Oryzias latipes: one gene and its partner. The main gene of each other region encodes a partner of the protein of the gene in region 2 in a complex. Links are inferred from orthologs where the notes say so. Each region holds a gene or a part of one and is shown on either strand. Other genes may lie near its edges.

Evidence for each region. Proteins that work in one complex are often made in the same cells at the same time.
Region 1: ints7 (region 2) and ints12 share a complex: the UniProt entries of both Homo sapiens proteins name them as parts of the integrator complex. The link is inferred for Oryzias latipes from reciprocal best matches to the Homo sapiens genes INTS7 and INTS12.

The regions. Positions count from the first base shown.
Region 1 is NC_019859.2:15,816,340-15,827,969, reverse strand, and holds ints12 (integrator complex subunit 12), read left to right. Parts: upstream 1-5,426; coding exon 5,427-5,429; exon of another isoform or gene 5,430-5,436; intron 5,437-5,537; exon of another isoform or gene 5,538-5,693; intron 5,694-5,799; exon of another isoform or gene 5,800-5,918; intron 5,919-6,573; coding exon 6,574-6,732; intron 6,733-6,829; coding exon 6,830-6,982; intron 6,983-7,594; coding exon 7,595-7,776; intron 7,777-7,939; coding exon 7,940-8,099; intron 8,100-8,214; coding exon 8,215-8,358; intron 8,359-10,338; coding exon 10,339-10,893; 3' UTR 10,894-11,101; downstream 11,102-11,630. Other genes in the region: gstcd (glutathione S-transferase C-terminal domain-containing protein), read right to left, coding at 1-246, 2,725-3,177, 5,021-5,428. UniProt on the Homo sapiens protein: Component of the integrator complex, a multiprotein complex that terminates RNA polymerase II (Pol II) transcription in the promoter-proximal region of genes.
Region 2 is NC_019882.2:6,286,294-6,296,228, forward strand, and holds ints7 (integrator complex subunit 7), read left to right. Parts: upstream 1-375; 5' UTR 376-683; coding exon 684-777; intron 778-951; coding exon 952-1,081; intron 1,082-1,423; coding exon 1,424-1,570; intron 1,571-1,692; coding exon 1,693-1,830; intron 1,831-1,916; coding exon 1,917-1,963; intron 1,964-2,076; coding exon 2,077-2,276; intron 2,277-2,382; coding exon 2,383-2,505; intron 2,506-2,581; coding exon 2,582-2,699; intron 2,700-2,783; coding exon 2,784-2,918; intron 2,919-3,019; coding exon 3,020-3,117; intron 3,118-3,417; coding exon 3,418-3,657; intron 3,658-4,225; coding exon 4,226-4,363; intron 4,364-4,438; coding exon 4,439-4,645; intron 4,646-4,824; coding exon 4,825-5,019; intron 5,020-5,318; coding exon 5,319-5,422; intron 5,423-5,513; coding exon 5,514-5,582; intron 5,583-5,812; coding exon 5,813-5,945; intron 5,946-6,499; coding exon 6,500-6,598; intron 6,599-6,976; coding exon 6,977-7,162; intron 7,163-7,276; and 3 more. Other genes in the region: dtl (denticleless protein homolog), read right to left, coding at 115-166. UniProt on the Homo sapiens protein: Component of the integrator complex, a multiprotein complex that terminates RNA polymerase II (Pol II) transcription in the promoter-proximal region of genes.

The DNA of each region.
Region 1 (11,630 bases), on a different chromosome or scaffold from region 2:
CCGGGGGCCCCCGACGAACGGAAGTGGCGTGGTCGTCTCCTGACTTCCCTCTTCCTCCAGCAGGGTCGCTGAAGGATGGGCTGACGGCCATGGAGGGCAAGTCGTGGCAACTTGGAGGGTGGACAGATGAAGCCCACAGTCTTTTGCTGCCCGCATGACACCGGGCACCTCTTGAACACGGTTGTACCAACGGAGCAGGTTGGGAAGCTGCTGCAGAGCGCTGGGGGCACTGGCTTGAAGGGAACACTTCGAGATAAGCAGAGCAAATGAAAATGAGGGGAGGGAGAACACAAGCAGAGTATTGATTAGATGATTCGGACCAACGCGTTATAAATGTCAGGTTTAACAAGCGATTGCTAGTCAAACCGGGGCTCTGCATAGAAACCTAAGACAAACAAAGCTGTGATCACGGATAAAGAAGACAGCCACAGGAGACAGCGTGGGATGTGTGTTGTGGACAGAGAAAACACGCTAAGCTGAGTATGAAACTGGAAACCACTGGAGCACAGCTGACTGCTAAAAGCCTCACTGTGAGAACATCAGTTAAATCCCAACATCTGAGGAACAGACTGAGACAGTTGAGAGGTGAAACTGAGGCTGGAGACTCACTAAAGCATTCCAGAACGACATAGAACAGGTCCAACAAGAGCTATCAGCACAGGCAAGATGAAAACATGGAGGTGCAAATGGTTTTCCAAAGAAATGTAAAAGGAAATACTTTTACTGCTAATTATCCAGTAAAATCAAAAACACAAACAGAACATTTGCTCCTGTGACATTCTTGTGCTTAATGTTCAGTTTTCAGATTTGAAAGGGAAAAAAAGCTTCTTTTTTTCCATCTAAATATTGAAAAATACTCATATTTTTTTTGTTTGTTAAATAAAACTTTAAGGCATTTTTAATAATACGGGGTTCACAAAAGGGAAGAATTTGAGATGTGTTAAGAAAAAACATGCTATATAGATCATTTTGAGGCACAAACAGATAGTTAATCATAGGAATAACATGCTTGTTAAGTAGGAACCTATTCAAAGTACAAACTAAATGAAAATAAAAGGCAGTTTCAATTTTTTTTTTTGCAGGTTAGAGTTTATTAACAATAAAATAGAAAAGTGAAATCTTAGAAAAATGGACGGAGAAACTGGTTAAATTTGGGAATAGAGTAAACCCTGCACACCCAAGTGGTGATTTAAGGGCAGCTGCCAAAAGGACACAACTATGAACGCACAAAGCTGCAAGACTCATTTTTGCTGAAACTTTCACAGCTAAGGCACAGTCTTTTAGCAGTAATGCTCCCTAAAAAGACTGAACCAAAAACCCAAGCTTTTAGGGAATGCATGTAATCTTCTAAGAAAGCAACAATGCAAAAATCTGGATTTAACCAAGCAATGCAGTTTGAAGTTTATCATGGCATGCCAGAAAAACAGGTATGAATGAAACATTTGTTAGCTTACCAGAACAAAAGTGTGGAATAAAAACGGGGAAAAAATGAATAAAGAACTCTAGATAAAATGTACTAATCTAAGTCTTGCTAAAAGCTCTAAATGTGAAGGAAGCACCAAAAGGCTGCAGGACGTATACGTCTAACTGTTATAGGGATAATCATCACTACAGTAATGTTTTAATTTACTGCTGCAGAAATTATAATCCATACCATTCATACATAGTGGTAAGTTTTTTTTTGTTTAGTTTTGAATAACAATGTTGGTCAAAATACCACAATCAAATATTTTGGCTCCAGCGAGACCCATTCCTTTTGTGGGGTATTAGAAACACCTGGAGGTGCTTTAGGGCAAACATGTTCAGTTACTGACAGACTCATGGGAATGCCTGAGAGGAGAGTATTTTTACAAATCAACAAGTATTTTATATCTGTAGACATTCCATTAAACTTCTATAACTCTTTAAAATTGCTCAATCTTTTTCTTTCTCCAAAGAGCTAATTAAGTATTTTGTTAAATTGTTTTTTTCAAGCTTCAACCACTGCTGCTCCTTTTGAAAGCACTTTAATGCTGTTAAATTAGTTCCTACTGTCAAATGAGCGGCACTCATTTTTAGTATTCGCACTCGAATCTGATTCAACTTTAGGTCAATAAAAAAAACCAAAGTGTTTCGATTCTGCAAAAAAAAAAAAAAAAAAAAGTTCCCAAATGAAATGCATTTTAACCTCCCTAATGTGCGACCCTTTCGCACGCTGTTATCAGGCTCTGCCAGATGGCTCCGGACCACCTGTGAGAGCAAACAGGTGCCAAGTCCTCTTTACTCAAGTTTCTGCTTGAATGCACCTGACAGGAGTCTGCTCACCCTGACCGGAGTGCTAAAACCATACGTCATGCATAATTTGACAAGTTATCACAATAAAAGTCTCAGCAAGCCAGTTAAAACTTGCAACTTCACTTTTCAAACAGAGAGGTGCATAATGGGAAGTAAGGCCCTGCAAGGGTTCACGTAGGGAGACCAAATATGAATAATGACCCTCACCAACGGCTCGGGACGAAATAATGTCCTCAAAGGTTTTTGAAGAAAAACGTGTCAAGTCTAGCGAAGGTTTAAGGTTTATGCAGTAATAACAAAATGAAATGATCATTTAGAGTGTCTTTATGGATCATAAAGCAGAGGAATCCTTGAAAAATGGAAAGACTGGCGTCCTTAAGCATGAGGGCTCACTTATCACGGCACTCTGAATAAGTCACACTGCTCAATGATCCGGTGCAAATCCCTTACCAGATACTGATGAATACATGGCAAGAGCACCACATCAGTCAGAGTGAAATACAGCCCTTCAGCGAACACGTGCTCCAGTGGCGGCAGCTCGCTGGTCTTCACTTTCCTGATCTCAGAGTTCTCCCTGGTGGTTACCGCCGGTACTGACACCACAGAGAGCTTAGCCAAAGCTGCCCTCAGCTCCAGCTCGTCAGAAACCTGTGGCGGACGTCCTGGAGACGGCTCCTTGTTCGCCTGGCCTCCAACAGGCTCCAGCTTCTCCCTGCGTTTCTGCTCTTGGAGCTTCTGCCTCCGGATTTTGTCGTCGTTGTGGACTTTGACGGGTTCTGCTAGCCGGCTCTCCAGGGTGAGAACAGGGAGAGGCAGCTGCTTCCCCACATCTCCTGGGTTATGGAGGTGTTCCTCCACAGCAGAAGGAATGCCTATTTCACACAGTCTGGTCCACTTGCTCACCTGCAGGGGGAAAGAGATACAGAACTTTACTCAACACCTATATGACGCTTTGGACAGTTTTGGCCGATTTCAAAATAAAATTCCCTGAGAAAAAATGATCAAAAGAGCTTTTAACAGCTCTTTAAAAAAATGCTTGTGACCGAAGCTTAAAGTATAATTTCAACAAAATGTTACTTTTTTGTAGTGTATCATATGACAGCAAGATGGCAACTAAATATACAGTCAGGACCATAAATATTTGGACAGAGACACATTCTTTCTAATTTTGTTTCTCTACATTACCACAGTGAATTTTAAATATAACAGCTCAGATGCCATTGAAGTGCAGACTTTCAGCTTTTATTCCATGGGTTGAACAAAAAGATTGCATAAAAATGTGAAAAACTAAAGCATTTTTTAAAGGCAATCCCTTCATTTCATGGGCTCCTGGACAAATGAAATAACTGAAAACAAAATGGTCATTACTAATATTTGGTTGGAAACTCTTTGTTGGCTATGACAGCCTGAAGTCTTGAACTCATGGACATCACCAGATGCTGGGTTTTCTGCTTCTGAATGCTCTGCCAGGCCTTTACTGCAGTGGCTTTCTGTTGCTGTTTCTTTGTGGGCCTTTCTGTCTGAAGTTTAGTCTGCAACAAGTGAAATGCATGCCGAGCAAAGACCTATCTAGCCTTCTTCCTATTCTTAAGGCTTATGACTTGTATCTTGCAGTGTACCCTCTGGATCTACTTTCATACATTCTTCTTTTTATGGCAGACTTGGATATTGATACGCCTACCTCCTGGAGAGTGTTGTTCACTTGGTTGGCAGTTGTGAACAGGTTCCTCTTCACCATGGAAATGATTTTGCCATCATCCACCACTGTTGTCTTCCGTGGACGTCCAGGTCTTTTTGCGTTGCTGAGTTCACCAGTGCTTTCTTTCTTTCTCAGGATGTACCACACTGTTGATTTTGCCACTCCTAATACTGTAGCAATTTCTGGCATGGTTTTTTTCTGTTTTCTCAGCTTAATGATGGCTCCTTTCACCTGCATGGAGAGCTCCTTTGACTGCATGTTGTCTGTTCACAGCAAAATCTTCCAAATGCAAGCACGAGTCCTCTAATCAACTCCAGGCAGAAACAAAATTAGAAAGAATGTGTCTCTGTCCAAATATTTATGGTCCTGACTGTATATGTAGATGCAGTTTGGTCTGGGTCATCTTGTACTGCTAGCAACAAATCCTGCCTTTAGGTGTTCAATGATGGAGTCAATTTGACAAGACTGTAGGTATCTTTTTTTACTGCCATCACATGTGTGTTGCCCACTGTAATGGCACTCTGTCAGTTTTTATGTTATAGTAAAATACACCCACAAGGCCTCAATCCAAATGGGACTTTCCAATATTGATAATAATCAATTTATTTCATTTTGAAATGATTTCATAGGTCGATTCAATTAACAGCTTGCGTCAGAAAGATCTGGTTGGATCATAGGAATAAAATTCGATTTTAGTCAATTAATCATTACATCCATAATTTGTTGGCAAGGTGCACCACCTGTCACCGGGGGGAAATGTCTGATAATTAATGTTGCTGTTTTTCTGTAACATATGGCAACATTGACCTGAAACTGTAAGATGATACTTGGTGTTGTGTTGGGGGGGTGTCATTTTTGTGGCATCTTTTTGCCTACAAACACAACAGCTGTTCCTTTCATGTAAAACTGCATAACTTTGATGCCCTTTAATGCAAAGCATCACGGTCTTTTCATATTTTCAAAACACACATAAAGACTTTTTGTGTTTTTCCATCCTGACAACCAAAACAAACCTACAGAGACGTGATAGAGTGTAATTGCACCAACCTCTGCACAGGCTTTTAAGCAGGTCTTTTTGAAGCCCAGCAGAGCTGCTACATCCTTCCTGGAAGGGTCAGCCTCGATGCTCTTGTCGATGATGTGTCTGAGGACCACCGCCAGTCCGGCCCTGCAGATCTGCGCGCTCTCATCCAGAGCAGCGGGGAGGCGGCAGCTGCTCACCAGTTTGGGCAGCTCGTCCACCTGGACGTCTGAGAGACTTGCAGATGCTGGAAGCTGGCTCTTCAGAGGCTCGGAGCTGCTGCTGTCGCCAAGGACGAGAAACACTCTGAAAGACTCGCAGTCGCAGTAAGACAGCAGAAACAGAACTATAGAAGAGTGCAGGGGAAGACGCAGCTGCTCGTTTTGGCTGCAAACTTCTAAGTAGAGGCACGGGGGTTGTTCGGCGTGTGTCATGGTAAATGCTGTGAATGGGAGAAATATGTTTAAGTATTTTTTATTATCACTATTTGTCTTTTCAACTGCTAATAATGCCATAAAACAGTCAGAAAGAAGTCATACAGACCGGCTACTTTACAAACATCACGTTATCAGCGTGCTGCTTTTTCTTCTTCTACTACGAGTTATTGAGTCGAGTATTGCCACAGCGCCACCAGCTGGTCGTTAAAATATATACATTTTAAATGCATTTATTGATAGAAAGTCGGTTAGAATAAAACTTATTTAAAAATACGAGTGAAAAAACAAAAAACAAATTCGCTTTGCTATTACGTGAAGTATATTTTTTGTTCTACTTGCGCCGCCCACTTAGATTCCGGACACATTTATCGGGTGCACATTGTGAAAGACATAAAACGTCAGCGGCGATTTCCTCTTTGTGGAAAGAGTTCTATTAAACAGAAATATCTACAGCAGAGACCAACATTTTGCAGAAACTGAGTGTGAGGTAGGATTACCCATTTAAAGCTATAGACTGGGGATTTTGACGTGTTGGTGACATTTGGGAAGATAACTTTACCTACGGTGTCGCAGTGATATTGTTCCGTCCATCTGCTACCAACGATTACTTTAAACCCTACCAACTGGATTTGAGCATTGTGGGTTGTTTTTAATAGACACAGGCATCATATTTCTTTATATATTTGTAGTAAATAATGCAGAGGCAGGATTTCTTGTAATAAATACCGCAAATAAGGAAAAATAGCTGGTTAGTCTTAAAAACGTTCCGTTTTTGTGTACCCATTATTAGGCAAAACTCTTAAAAATGAACATTTTTATTGGTTGCTGTATTTTTTGTTAGTTTTGACAGCCTATAGTTCATTGTAAATTGCTTTATTTGATTACAATTGTAATTAGCAAACTATAACTTTGAATAAATATGCTCATCATTGATATTCATTGTTGTAAATGCTCCCAGACGCCTATAAACATGTGTGACTGACTTAATAAATGTTTGTTTTTGTTTTTGTTTTTTATTATAGTTAGTATATTTAATTTGCAATCTAGATAAGATGAAATAGTTTTGTATTGTAGCAAAGTGTACATTTGTAATTTGCAGACGTCAATGAAAACCTAACATTATTCAATCATTTTCTAACTAGGCCATGGCTGGACCTGTCAGCTTGGAGTTGGACCCCCTTTTTTTAAAGGCTCTGGGTTATTTGCACTCCAAGAACAAAGATTCAGCAGAGAAACTCAAAGCTTTACTCGATGAGTCCCTTGCGAGAGGAGGTGACTCCTCCTACCGCTCATTACAAAAAGTAAGATCCGCTTCTTATAAAGATAGTCTTACGCTGTCAGTGATAATTCATTCGTATGGAGCTTATTGCTCCTCTTTTCTGCTGTGTTCATCTTTAGGACTTGGAAATGCCAAAAAGTTCTGTGTCCAAACTGAGCCTGACTAAGCAAGACTCAAAGTCTTTGAGCACTCCATCTTCCAGCAACAGTGGAAGTTCCAAATCCAGTTCAGAGAAGAGCAAGAAAGAAGCAGAGAAGAGGCCATCAGAGAAGGTGGGGGATTAAAAGTGTTGTCACATTATCATGTATGTTTAGATGACACCATGTGCCATGATTGGACTGTACTCATTAATTCTCTTCAGGATTTACATTGATTCCAATTAAAGCTGCAACAATTGTCAATCATTAGAATTTAGGAATAAAGCCCTGAAGAGACATAAAATATTGACAAATGCAAAAAGAAATGACAACACTCAAAAAAAAAATGTTTGGAATAAAATTTGAGACTTTTTTTTAACACCAGAAAAAGGATGCCTGATCAGGGAAAGAGAAAAAGAAAACATACATGGGTCATTATTTTAACATATCAGCAACTTAAAGGTTGTTTTTTTTTATGAATAATCGAAGTCTTGATTTATGGCTTTCCTGGGTCTTGTAATTGAATATTATTACTTTATTTTATGAACTAAATGATGCCACAGCGAGATGAACAAGTCCATTTCTAACAAACATGTACATCCTTAGTTTAAAATAATAATAATAGACATTGCTTGGGACTTTCTTCTCAATCTGTGGTTATTTTAAGCATAACAGCTTGTGTGATTGAACACCAATGTTGGTATGAATTTTCAAATTTCATACGTTCTCTGTCTCATTGACAAATAGATACGGGTGGAGTTGTCTGAAGTGGATCCTCCAAAAAAGTCCCGCTTGGAGAAACCGGACAATCGCTCGTCCCCTATAACTGTTCAGACGAGCAAGGACCTCATGCCCAACATACACGACTACGATGAAACTAATGCTGACGACTTTGCCATGGAAATGGGACTGGCTTGTGTGGTTTGCAGGTGCTTGTTAATTATCAAATGAAATGAAATGAAACTTTGAGTTTCTTTGTTATTTGCACATTTTTCTGGTTTGTGGATCCAGTTTCTCTTTCTACAACGTGCGAGTTGGTATGAAATTCTCTTCACTCAACTGTTTTTGCGTCTGCGTTTCTCTGAACTGTAGACAAATGACGGTGACCATGGGAAACCAGTTGGTGGAGTGTCAGGAGTGTCATAATCTGTACCACCAGGACTGCCACAAGCCCCAAGTGACAGACAAAGAGGTCAACGACCCCCGCCTTGTGTGGTACTGTGCTCGTTGTACCAGGCAAATGAAACGCATGGTGAGAGCTGTTCCTGTGCTCGGGTATTGACTCTTATAGTGATCAGCTGGGAGTCATGGCAACAGGACCAACAGTCTTCATTAAAGCTAATGATTTTTGTGTGTGTGTTCTCAAGGCGCAGAAACCTCCACAAAAACCGTCTCCTGCATCTGCATCATCAGTGCCTGTGGTGAAAGACACGCTGGTGAAGAAAACGGAGGGCAAGCTTAAGATTGACACAGCCAACACCTTCCAAGCCTTCAAAAGGACAGAGGTGAAGGTACGTGGTGACTTTTGTCGTCTAGACCTGTGGTCTCCAACCCCCCGGGCCGCAGACAGAAAAAAAAATGTATACACTAACTTCGATCATTTCTGTTTTGTTTATCACGATCTTTTATTATCTTTATGCAGTGCACAATGAAATTGTTTTCAGCAGCTCTTTTTCAATGAATAATTGCACATAGAAAAATAAATGTGCAGCCAGAGCGTTGTCAACAGAGTAGTGTATTTTCTGATACTAAAGAGAGTTTTATTTTGAAAAACTACCGGATTTTGTTTACCACATCCGTCCGTCTTAACGCGTCTCGTGACTTTAAGCATCTGCTCGGAACCTCGCAAGGCAAAGTTGGTTGCTCAACGCTTAAAGGCAAATCAAAACCAAACAATAAAACGTATTTGAAAAGTTTCTTTGGGGAGAGAAGAGTTAGTGTGGAAACAGAGGAAGAACATTTGACTTCAAAGGAAAATAAAGCTGCTATATGCAGACAAAATCAGGAGTCGTTCTTTAAATATGGATTTATTGAGATTCCCATGAACCAGAAGCTGCTCGCTTGTCTGATATGAAGTGACTGACATTTGAATGTTTCACTCATCCCGATAATGACGTTGCAAACGTGATGAACTCATGTTTATTATTTAGAAAATAAGTGAGTTGTGTCATTTATTTTGCTTTATTTATCCTTCTCATCTTAAAAGCCGGACGTGCCTGAAGTGAGCGTCTGGTTGTTAGCCCCCACTTTGACATTAAAGGGAAAATCTTCATCACAAAGTTTAAATTTAAACTATCCACAAACAATTTACAGGGAATGATTGTGTCAATCAAATAAAGTTTCGATTCGTGGAAACTTGTAAAGGGGACATTTTCTACAGCAAGGGAGAATTAATAAACATAAGAGCAGAGAAAATGTTTCTCTGTGTTCAAAAATACACAGTGAATCTGAATTTATGTAAAAACAAAATATGATCAGTCTTTTTGCCCTGAAAGATGATCTCAGACTGAGTTGAGTTATTTATTATAATGGTTTTCTATGTAAAAGAAGAAGAAAAAAACTATAAATTTGCTTTCATTGAATTATTTACAAATAAACAACTTTGACTCACTGAATCTTTGTCATATGTTAAAAAATAAAATTAAAAAAATCTGCTAATGGTCTCTGATTTTTTTTTTTTTTTTTTTTACAAAATTTCTTGTTATAGTATTTTATTTGAAAAAATAGGGTGTTCAGAAACCAGAAGCTTTAAAAAGATTAAACACAAACTTTGCCCGTTCGGACCGTTCCGTGAAAATATAGTCTTGACATTGAACCGGTCTGTGGCGAACCAGCATGTGGAGCTGCACAATATGGCCTTTTTCTATCCATATCTAAATGTAAAAAACTAAAAAAGTACTTGAAAATACCGTGTAAATGTTAAAATTGTAAAAAGAAATTGCAGTGAAGATTTTTCTAAAAATAACGTTTGCATTAGAAGCTTTAAACAGTTTGAACTAAAAACAACGCAGCAGGTCCACCTGAGGTGGCAAAGCACAAAAAAATCTTTAACAACAAAACATGAAATTTTCATCCTCTGGCACAAAAATGTGAATGTAGAAACATATCTCAGACATTTAAAACTGCAGCAGTCACATTAGCAGTTGTGGGGGGGGGGGGGGGAGTTGTTTGTAATACCTATGCAAAAGCATCATGTTTACTTTTTTTTTTCCATTTTCTTTTTTCACATTTCCACGGTAACAAAGTTTAGTCAATAAGAAAAACGCAATTACTCTAGCTGTACTTAAAAACCAAGGATTGGTTTAAAGCAAAGTTGTCTTTTTATTTATTTTTTAAGTTACATATTTAAGATTAATAGAAATGAGACAAGCGTGAAATTGTAAGGGGTTGCTTCTTGGTTTAAAATATTTTTGATGAAATGTGACGAATTTGTGACATCCTTTAGTTTCCTAACTTTGATTCTTTTCTCTTTTTTTTTTTTTGTCACACAGCCACCTGTCACATTGGCGAGTTCCACTATTTCAACATCCTCCTCCTCTAGCAGCGGTCTGACAGGCTGGGCTGCATTTGGCGCCAAAACAAACCCCTCTCTTCCCGCTAGCTCCAAACTAGCTTCCTCTGGCGCGAGCGGGAGCAGCAAGACCTTGACAGCTCCTAGTCAGAAACCTGTCGGGTTGTCAGGGCTCGCTGGAGCCAAGTCAGGACTTGCAGGAGGAAAAGTCGTTGGAAACAACAATGGAAATGGCTCCAGCCAGGTAACTCTCAAGCCTCCTCCACCTCTGACTTTGGGGAAGCAGCCAGTCAGTCGCTCGTCGAGCACAGAAAACCCGGGGAAAGTGTCCTCGCCATCTGGGGCAGGCTCTCCGAGCAACGCCCAAACAGGCTCCAGTGGCAGCAATAATGGAGGAGGTAATGGAAACAACGGTAATGGACATAAAGGCGCTCCAGGAGACAAAGCACCAACCTCTCAAGAATCCCAACTAAACGCCATGAAACGGCTGCAAATGGTCAAGAAGAAAGCAGCACAGAAAAAGATGAAGAAATAAGTGGATGCATAGAGAAAAGATGAAAGGAACATACAGGAAATTAGTGAATTCATTGCCAGAACTTTGCAAAAACTTGAGGAGCTGCACATGGAGCATACTTGAAGCTAACTTTGTAGAAAAATGTCACTTCATCATTAGATCTGATCCCTTAAAAATGCTCCTTTTTACCTATAATGTCATTAAATCTCCTGTTCTTATAAAATTATTGTAGCTGGTGTTTCTTGTGTGGATGCGAGTCAGTATGCCATATAAAATGAACAAAAGTACCACAACAATTTATTCATAAACATCATTTTTTATTTACAATGTCACCTTTTCAACACCAATGATAAAATTCTTCACTTTAAATGCACACAAAATAGTTTCTTAAACCTTCATAGATCGTTGACAAATATACTTCATATATCTTCTTCTATAAATCTTCTCACATATATTGTATTTACTTCATATTTAAATCACTTCATTTTTACTCTAAACAACACTGAAGAACAAAAAGTGCTCAGCAAAAGTGCTGTTTGCTTTTTAATGGAACCGCTCGCTTTTTTTTAACACGTTATTGCTCAAAGGCGTAGGCGAGCTCTTGTGGTTCATTCTCACAAAGACAAAGACTGTGATCAACCATTTCAATACAAAAACATAACTGATTGCATCTGCTTTCAAAAAGTGCTGTTTGACATCAGCAAAGAGTTAAAAAAAGAAACAGTGCTAAAAGAAAATAACATTTCACTTTCCAAACT
Region 2 (9,935 bases):
TGGACACATTTACAAGCAAGGCTACGTCCGCCTCCAGCAAAACGTAGCAAAACACTGCTAACTTTTAACACACACCGTTCGAAAAAACTAAACCAAACTACGAGATGGTCTCACCAGTCTGCCTCCGTCTGCCCACTCCTCTAGCGACTACGGATCGGAAAAGCATCCTAATACAACAACAAAGGACAATCCCAGATGGCTGTTAAAACGCCTGTGAAGTTTGTTGGATCGTTATGGGAAGGTCTTCTTGTCCGTGTTGCTGCAGACTGTTTCCCGCGAAGTGATCGCCCTCAGAGACAAACCGAATTCCGCGCGAGTTTTGCGTCGCAGGCTGCCATTGGTTCAATCGGGGTCCAAGTCGGAGCACTTCCGCTTCTGTTGACTTTGTGCTACATCTCCTCTTTCCGCTTTTTCAATCAAAGAAACGATTAAGTAAACAGCTAGTTTCAAGTATTTTATATCAACTTTTGTTTCTGCATTCATGCAAACGTTTTATTTCTAGACATCAGACCTTGATTTATCCCCAAAATATAGAAAATAGGATTTATTACCCCGGCCCTAATGTTGTTGTTGTTGTTCTGACCGGACGGAATTAATTGTGACAGACTGTCGCTAGTACTAAACTGTGCACTGAAATTCTTATGCTTATTGGGTAATATTAAATTTTTTTTAGCGAACATAAAATGTCGCTGTCGTCAGCGCGTTCTTTCTTATCAGAGGCTTGTTATGGAGAACAAGAACTGGACGCTAATTCTGCTCTCATGGAGCTGGACAAAGGTGTGCTAGCTTCTTTGCTATGCGTTATCATACATTGCATCCCAATATACCGTGAAGTTTTTTTTTTTTTTTTTTTTTTTTTTTTTTTTTTTTACAATGGACTTTACTATAATTGTTTTTGTTTTAAATATTGCTGTGTAAATTCAGTTTGTTTTGTGTTAAATCCGCGTTCAGGACTGCGGTCGGGGAAACTCGGAGAGCAGTGCGAGGCTGTGGTGTTGTTCCCAAAACTCTTCCAGAAGTACCCCTTCCCCATCCTCATCAACTCAGCCTTTCTAAAACTAGCAGATATCTTCAGACTTGGGTAGGACCGTTTCATTTGTTTATTTTAAACACCCGATATTTCACATAGGATCGTTACAAGACCACTTGATTGTTTGTTGTTTAAATAAAGATGCATGAATTTAATCTCTAATGAAAAGGCAACTTTGACTTTTATGGTTTAGCTTGAGCTCATAGATTCTTAATGTTTTGGGGTTGCTCATAAGCAAGTTTAGTTTATCAGATTTAAAAAGAAGTTTGGTGGTATTTGTTGCCCTGGTAACGCATTCTGTGTACCCAAATTAGCTCTAAAGACTAAATGGAATATTTCAGTGAACTTTACTTTGCCACAAGCCTGTTTGTTCATGGAAACGTCTGTTTACAGCAACAACTTCCTCCGTCTGTGTGTGCTGAAAGTAACGCAACAAAGTGAGAAACATTTGGAAAAAATTCTCAACGTGGACGAGTTTGTGAAAAGGGTGTTTTCAGTCATCCACAGCAATGACCCTGTGGCCAGAGCCATTACATTAAGGTACAGCACAACAAGGGGGAGATGTGTTACAGAATGCACTTAAAAATTCAAATGGAAAAAATGTTGAATTTGTATTTTATTTGACTAAATTGCTAAGTTTCCCCTGGTTCTGGTCTGTTCAGGATGCTCGGTAGTTTGGCCTCGATCATCCCAGAGAGGAAAAATGCCCACCACAGTATTCGGCAAAGTCTGGATTCCCATGATAATGTGGAAGTGGAAGCTGCCATCTTCGCTGCTGCAAGCTTTTCTGCACAGTCAAAGTAAGGAAAGTCATGAGTGATACATCCATTGTAGTTCATTAGGATTTTTTTTTAATTACATGTTATTTATAATTTTTCCTTTTTAGAGACTTTGCAGCTGGAATTTGCAATAAAGTCAGTGAAATGATTCAAGGTAAATTGATTATGTGTTGAAAATAAAGCATTTGTGAAAGAATACATTTTTCCAAAGGTATTAAATAATTTCTAGATAGTCTTTTTAAGCTTTTATTTTTATTTCCTTCTCAGGTTTAGACACTCCAGTGGACCTGAAGCTAAAGCTGATTCCCATGCTGCAACACATGCATCATGATGCCAATCTGGCTTCCAGCAGCAGGGAGCTTCTGCAGCACTTGGTCAGTTCCTACCCTTCCACCCCTATGGTCATCGTCTCATTGCACACCTTTACCCAACTGGCTGCTTCCTCCCTCATTGATATTCCTAAGCAGGTAACCTCATGTCACAATCTTAGTGACTTGTATCTGATCTCTAATAAGGTTTTTAATGTGCTGGTACACTAAAAAGATGATATTTGGAACAAATTCTTTCCTGCAGTTGCAGCTTCTGCTTCAGTACCTTAGAGATGATCCAAGGAAAGCTGTGAAGATGCTCACAATTAATGATTTAAAACTTCTGGCTAAAAAGGCCCCTCATCTGTGGATCAGAGAAAACACTCAGGTAAGGGGGACAATGGTTATTTTCACGTTAGTTAAACGTTTTTATGTAATCCAACTGGTTTTATATATTTTTGCAGACTCTGTGCGAGTGTGCTTTGGCCATTCCCTACAATAGTTTGAAGCTGGGCATGTTGGCTGTCCTCTCTACCTTATCTGGAACAATTGCAATCAAGCAGTATTTTAGTAATCCAGCAGGTGACAAGTTTACTCCAAAAAATCTTGTTTTTTTACTAATATTTTCTAGCATCAATCTAAAAACTGAATCTGTTCAACTTTCAGGCAGCTCCATGGTCTCCCCCCAGCTTACTGACCTGGTTAAACTTGCTCAAGAATGCTGTTACCATAGCAACCTGGCAGTGGCTGCTCAAGGGGTCGCCGTGCTCTCCAACATTGTTATTTCTTGTCCAGAAAAAGGTGAGCTTCTGCGGTGGTGGCCTATATTCCAGTCTTTTTTGTTTTTAATCTAGTGTTTGAGCTTTAATTTTATTGTCCATTTCCTATTTCCTTCCCCTCAGATATAATTCAGTTGGAGCAGGAAACAGTTTTGGGAGTTGAGTCCCTTCTGATGCTGTGTAGTCAGGATAGCAGCCCTGGTTCACAAGCCACACTCAAAGTAAGACACAACTATTTCCCAAAGGCTAAGGTATTAAATGCAAATGTGACCCACATTTTCAACGTCTGCACAAAATTGGACCAAAATTCAAGCGATTTTTGCTCGAATTTTGCTGCTCCCCCTACAGCATATACTCACAGCGCCATTGTGAGGAATGGAAAGATTGAGTGTTTCATCTTTAAGTAAACGAATGAAGAAATCACAACTTTGGACCTAGCAACATTTAAAAAAAGCTTATTCATTTCAAAAATATTCAGTAAATCTGTATTTTATTGTCGTCTTCTTTCTGAACCACCACAGACTGGCCTCACCTCACTGGTCAAGTTGCTCAAAGGTCGACCGCATCTCAGCCAGGCAGCTGTGGATTTCCTGCTGGGCCAGCTCCACTTATCCTGTGACTCGTCCCGCACTCTCATTTGCCACGCTCTGGCGGCCATTGCCACTCACCTGCCCGTGCTGGGGGACGGCATGCTGGGGGATCTGGTGGATCTCTACAGGGTTGTCAGTCACTCCTCCACCGGAGAACAGCAAGAGCTTCTGGTGAGAGATGGCAATCAAGTCACGCCTGATTTTCTGTTAACTTGCGTTGGATGTGGATTTGGTTCAAGATGACATTTTTTGTGGATTTTCTATTTTAGGGTCACTTCATTTAATTGTTCCTTAACTATGGCCAGCAGCAGTCCTGGACTGCGAGGAATAGATTGTTTTTGCAATTCTCTTTTCTTACTGCATCTGGTCAAAATGTATTTTGGGCATAGAAAGTGGAAATGTGGGTGTGGTTAACAAAAAACCTTTGTAGCTAAGGAAATCCAAAAATTACATAGACCTGTTCGTCAACCCCATGTGACCAAAATAATGAATAGTTGCTATAGAGATGAAATCAATAAAAATATTTTGGGGAAAAAATCATTTTTTAATGAATTTGTCATGTGCAGTTTTGAACAGAGGGGCAGAGTGAAGGGGTTTAGCAGCCACTCAGCCATTGAGGGCAGGTCAAAGGGGGCTGCAGGGGCGGGTGGCGCCTACAGACCATACAACGCCATGCGCAGCTTTGGTTTTCTTTTTTATCTGCCATTTTAAACTAATTCACATAATGTGGCTGCTACAGGTTTCCTTGGCAACAGTGATTTTTGTTGCAAGCCAGTCATCTCTTTCAGCCGAGGTGAAAACTGTCATCAAACAGCAACTGGAGAGCGTTGCTAACGGGTGGACGGTGTATCGCATCGCACGCCAGGCTTCACGGATGGTGAGCTTCTATCGAAGCAGCGTTTGCGTGAAGCCATGAAGCCGGAAATCAAAGCTCCTTGTGTTTGACCTTCAGGGGTGCCACGAGTTTTCCAGCGAGCTGTACCAATGTCTGCGGACGCGTGTGGCATCTGAACACTTCTACTTCTGGCTGAACAGCCTGAAGGATTTTTCCCAGGCTGAGCAGTGCCTCACTCACGTGGAGGATGGAGACTACAGCGGAGCCATGAGTGCCATCGCCGAAGCTCTTCGCTCCTACCAAAAGGGCATCGCCTCCCTCACAGTCGGTTAACTCCCAGGCATCTGCTTGTCATAAAACATTAATGTAGTCCACGCTTCCCTAGGGACTTAAGTGTTTTAGGTTTTGAAAGTCATTTGGATGTTTATGTATTTTGTTGACGCTCCTTAAGTCATAAATGAGTAATATTTGTGAGCGTTTATCTGATGCATCTGTCCCTTTAGGCTGCCAGTACCCCTCTGAGCCCGCTTACATTCCAGTGTGAGTTCATTAAGCTGCGCATCGACACTCTGCAAGCCCTGTCGCAGCTCATTTGTACATGCAACAGCCTGAAAACCAGCCCCCCTCCTGCCATCGCCACCACCATTGCGCTCTCCTCCGGCAACGAGCTGCAGCGGTGCGGCCGCATCTCTCTGCAGGTTAAAGAAATAGATTCTGTTTGGGTGAAACTTGTGGAGAAAAGAGTTGGGAAGTTCTGCTGCTAAGTGGAAATGCATTGTGGGAACAGATGTTGAGGGTTATTAACTCTGTAGTTTGACTAATGAGCCTTTTATCTTAACGTTCCTCCTGTCCGCTTTGACATGTTTTTATCTACAAAATGTGACGAAAAGGAGTTTCCTGTTAAAATGCAAATAAATTATGAAAAAATAAAAGAAATCTTGGTGCTGACAAGCAAGATTTATGAGATTATTAATGGTGCTTCTCTTCTTTTTTCCAGATGAAAGTATGCATGGAAGAGTTCAGAAGTCTCGCCGCTCGCTATTCAGATTTACACCAGTCATCTTTTGATGCTGATTACGCCACCCTTCGTAATGTGGAGTTGTATCCTTAGCATTGGACTGAAGTCTGTCTTAAAAAGGTTTTCCATTTTTGCTCTCTACTGTGATTGACTTCACCTTAACTGTTTATGCAGACAACAGCAGAGCTGCCTGCTTGTTTCACATGTAATTGAAGCTTTGATAATCGACCCACAGGTAGCTAGGTGAGATTCACTCTTATCATTTGGCCTTCAAAAGAATGCACATTTCTATACCTTAGTCTATTTAAAAAAAAAAAAATTCTATTGCATATTCGTCCCAGTGTAATTCTACTGGAAGACCTTACTCTAAATATTTAAACATATCATTATTTATGTGAGAAAGTGAACTAAGAAAACATCTGGCATGAGGATGTATGAAGTTAAGATGTCACACCGCTTCTTGTGAACTGCAGTTTTCAGGAGTACGGCACTCTGGGCTCTGTCCAGACTGAGAGTGAATATGAGCGCAGAATGATCGCAGTTTTTAATCGCGTCCTGGAGGAAGCGGAAGGCCTCACCAAGAAGCACCCTCCTGTTTCACACCTGGTACGATGTCAACTTTCTGCTAAGTTTTTCAAACTTTAATGGTTGTACTAAGAGGTGGTTTACCTGCCCCTTTGGACATAAATTCTTTCAGTTTTTCAAACTTCTGTCAGTGTTCAGAGACTTGGTCACATGTGCAGATTAATACATTTAGGAATGGTCAAGATATTTGCACCTAATTTATTACATTATTTATCATAATTTATTACATTTTGTGATAAATTTGGACTCATTTATCTTTTTTTTTTTAAATAAATTTACTTTTACATTGTTCAATTCAGTTTCATGTTTAAAAATAAACTTGACTCTACATCCTGATAAGCTTCTTTTTTTTTTTTCAAAGTTTCTGTCTGTGGTTTTAAATGATTTTTTAAAAGCTGTCCTTTAATGCAGCTGTTTTTCCAGATTAAAATATAAAGGTGATGGGACAATTGGACTAAACCTTTAATTCAAGCAGAAGTTGGAGACTCCAAACAGCCGATTGTCATGTTTCATATGATGATTTGGTTTAATTACATCAGAATCGGCCAACCTAAACGTGTTGTTTTGTTTTCCAGCACACCAGCTGCCTATGTGACACTGTCATAGCTTTGCTCAAAGTGCCGCTGTCTTTCCAGAGATATTTCTTTCAGAAGCTCCAGTCAACCAGTATCAAGGTAATTATTATTTTAATTAGAATTGTCTGTGAAACATCTTTCTGAGCTTTTTATTTGTTGTTGCCGCTGAGAGGTCATTAGAGCTTTTATCTCAGTGATTGTAAGTGGGGGGGGGGGTGTATTGACCAGCTGTTTGTGGTACGCTGGAATACTTCCTGGTCCGGCTTTCAAGGAACCACTTGTGCCGAACCACTCCATGCAAAAACGAACTGGTTATTATCTTTCCGACACAAAAAAGGGCAGAAATGGTCAAATCAGCTCAGAGAAATACATTTAATGATTTCCTAAAGACAAAAAATGCTGCAGCATGAAAGAAAAAGAATGAAACCTTTTTAGTTTGCCCCTTGAGAGGTTTTTGTGGGGTTTTTTTTTTGGCAGTTGGCGCTCTCTCCATCGCCGCGCACGCCGAGCGAGCCCATCCCTGTTCAGAGCAGTCAGCAGCTCACGCTCAAGGTGGAAGGAGTCGTACAGCACGGTTCGACTCCAGGACTCTTTAGGAAAATCCAGTCTGTCTGTCTCAATGTCACATCCGTTCTCCAGAGCAAGACCGGACCTGACTACAAAGTAAGTTCTTTGAGCCAAAATCAACTCTACCGATGTAAAAGTGATTTAGAAAGCTGGTGTTTCTATCATCTGTTTTTCACAAACGGTTGCATATTCCGGGTTTTTATCTTTCAGATTGCGCTGGATGCTAAAACAAATGAGATCGAGCAGCGTGTAGAACCTCACAATGACTACTTCAGCACCCAGTTTTTGCTGAACTTCTCCATCCTCGGCACCCACTCAGTCACCGTGGAGGCATCTGTGGTGGATGAGAGTGGCATTCAGTGGAAGACTGGGCCCAAGACGACAGTATCTGTCAAGTCTCTGGAGGATCCTTATTCCCAGCAGCTTCGCCACCAGCTGCAGCAGGGCGGAGCTCAGCCGGCAGCACAAAGGAGTGCATACATTCGCTTCTAGTGACTTTTTTTTCAAGTACTTTACAATGTGAGCTTGTGTAGTTGACCTTTTCTACATCATAGAAACTAAGCATGTACAGAAAAAAAAATTCAGATAATAAAAGACCATAAATTCTTTTTGGTGTTTTTATTTGAAGTGTTCATGTGGTTAGACATTTTGATGGCATTTAAATTTCTTGTGCTTAGATTACCCAATTCTACTTTTTTTTTTTATTTGAAAAAGATTTTAAGACACTTGAGTATATTACCTTTTAAGTGGCATTTCATGCGCTCACAAAATGAAGAGAGAATAAAAAGACAACTTTTAAAAACTTTTGGCTTGATAATTGCTTTCAATAACATAGTTGGACACCAGGGGGCAGCACCAAACAAACCATCGCTTTCAATTATAATCTTTTAATTGAACAATTTTTCTGTTTTGCTATCGACGCTTTTTTTAAAGATATTTTCTAAAGAGTTCAAAGTATTTATAGTACTAAATTCCTAAGTTTAACCGTTTTTCAGTAGGAATGAGGCAATATTGTTTTCATTAAACTAACATGTATCTTTGTGTTTACATCTCGTACTTTGCTGTCACATTTAAAAGAGTTAGACATTATTTTTTTAGATACTTTATAAGTTAAACTATAGAAAGAAAAGTCACATTTCTTCCATAATTTTTCGGAATTCTGCGTTTAGATAACAGTATGAGTCATTAATAAACTCGTCTTGCATTTTTTTTAACTTTTACTCGGAAATATGACCGATGTCAAAGTTTATAATACCTATGAAAATTATATTTGAAAGAAAGATTGGGGAAGGCGAAGAGGGCGAGTCATTGTAGATGACGCTACTAAATAGTGCCACCGCGCCTGCTTTTATTTTGAAGGCGTGTCGCACTCATTTCCGTTTTTGGCGTTTTGATCCTTTGTGTGCACTGCCGCGGTATGAATCGGAGATCTGGTAAGAGATAACGGGTCCTGGCAGCCCAGGGAATAAATCTCGTTGTCCCTCGTATTTGATGCGCACATGAAGGTGTTGCGGTGCGCCTGTCTAACGAGCGGCGTTGAGCCCGGGCCCGCATTCACCAGGCTCTGCCGCACTCTTTGATGTGTGAGCTCGGTGGCTAGCGGAGTTGACGGTGATGCTGCTGCATCAGAGGATTTATCCCGGCGCCTATGACTGTGAGATGGAGCTAACGGCGTTCAAATGGAGCTGCCCCCTCGACAGTTAGCGAGCTAACCCTGCTCGTACAGACCTGTCCCGGAGAGCTAATGGGTGCAGTTTCATCGCCCAGGGCTTTCTGTAACATCACCACCACGTTGTTACACCCCTGTCTTGTCTACACATCTAACCGATCATGCCGTGCTGCAATATTTGCTAACTTTGCCGTTTAGGAAAGCTACACGTGAACGAATTGATCCTACTTCCAAAGTTAGTAGTCTTCTGGCCGTCCTTGGATGCTTCAGTGATATTAAGTGGGTGAGTAACTTAAGGTACCATACTTTTGCTTCCAAACTACAGGGTGGGACTACACTCTGGATGAGATCTTCTTGCGCGTTGCACCAACATCCATACATCCTGTTTCTAACGTTTGGAAATTTTATCTTAAAGTACTAATCAGCTTAAACCTGTCACCCCTTTTTTGTTTATGTCGCATCATTTATTTTTAAATAATTATTTCAACCCAGTGATTGTCATTGGTGACATTTCATAGCATCTGTTCCCGTTATGCTAACTCACCGCGCGGCTAACTAGCATGTTATGAAGTAGTCGTCTACGACCCCGGCGAATTGTCCTTTTAAGGTCCAGCCTCAGCTTGTCTTACTCTTTCAGCCTCACAAACAACCCCGAATAACACACGTTTCTTTACAAAATGAATGTCATTAAATAATAATCATCATCATAATAATAATCCGTTCATAGTGTCCTCTAAGCGTGTGTTGCATATAAATGCCGTGAAATAGCCTTATCCTCAAATGTGTTAGCTATGAAATACTCCCATATAAGTAAAACTTCAGCTTAATATATCCTTCGTTACACGTGGCTGTGTTATGGAAGTAAAACCCTAAATAAATACTCTATTACCTGCATTGTAAGGTATTAATTTAAAATACTAGTGTACAATTCAGCATGTTTTTACAAATGAAATCAGTAGGAAATGGTTCACTTTGTAATTTAATGATTTCCCTTAACTGTGAGGGGACAGGAAGTGATTAATGGGAGTGAACAACAAAAAAAGGTCATATGTGGCTCATAACACATCCTTAGATTTTAAAGGGGAACCTTTAAACTTTATAGTAAGTTATAATGACATTTTAGGTGGAAAGAAATACAGTATTTTATTTTTAAAAAGAAAACTTTGTGTCACCAATTAAAAGATTGCACAAACCAAACAG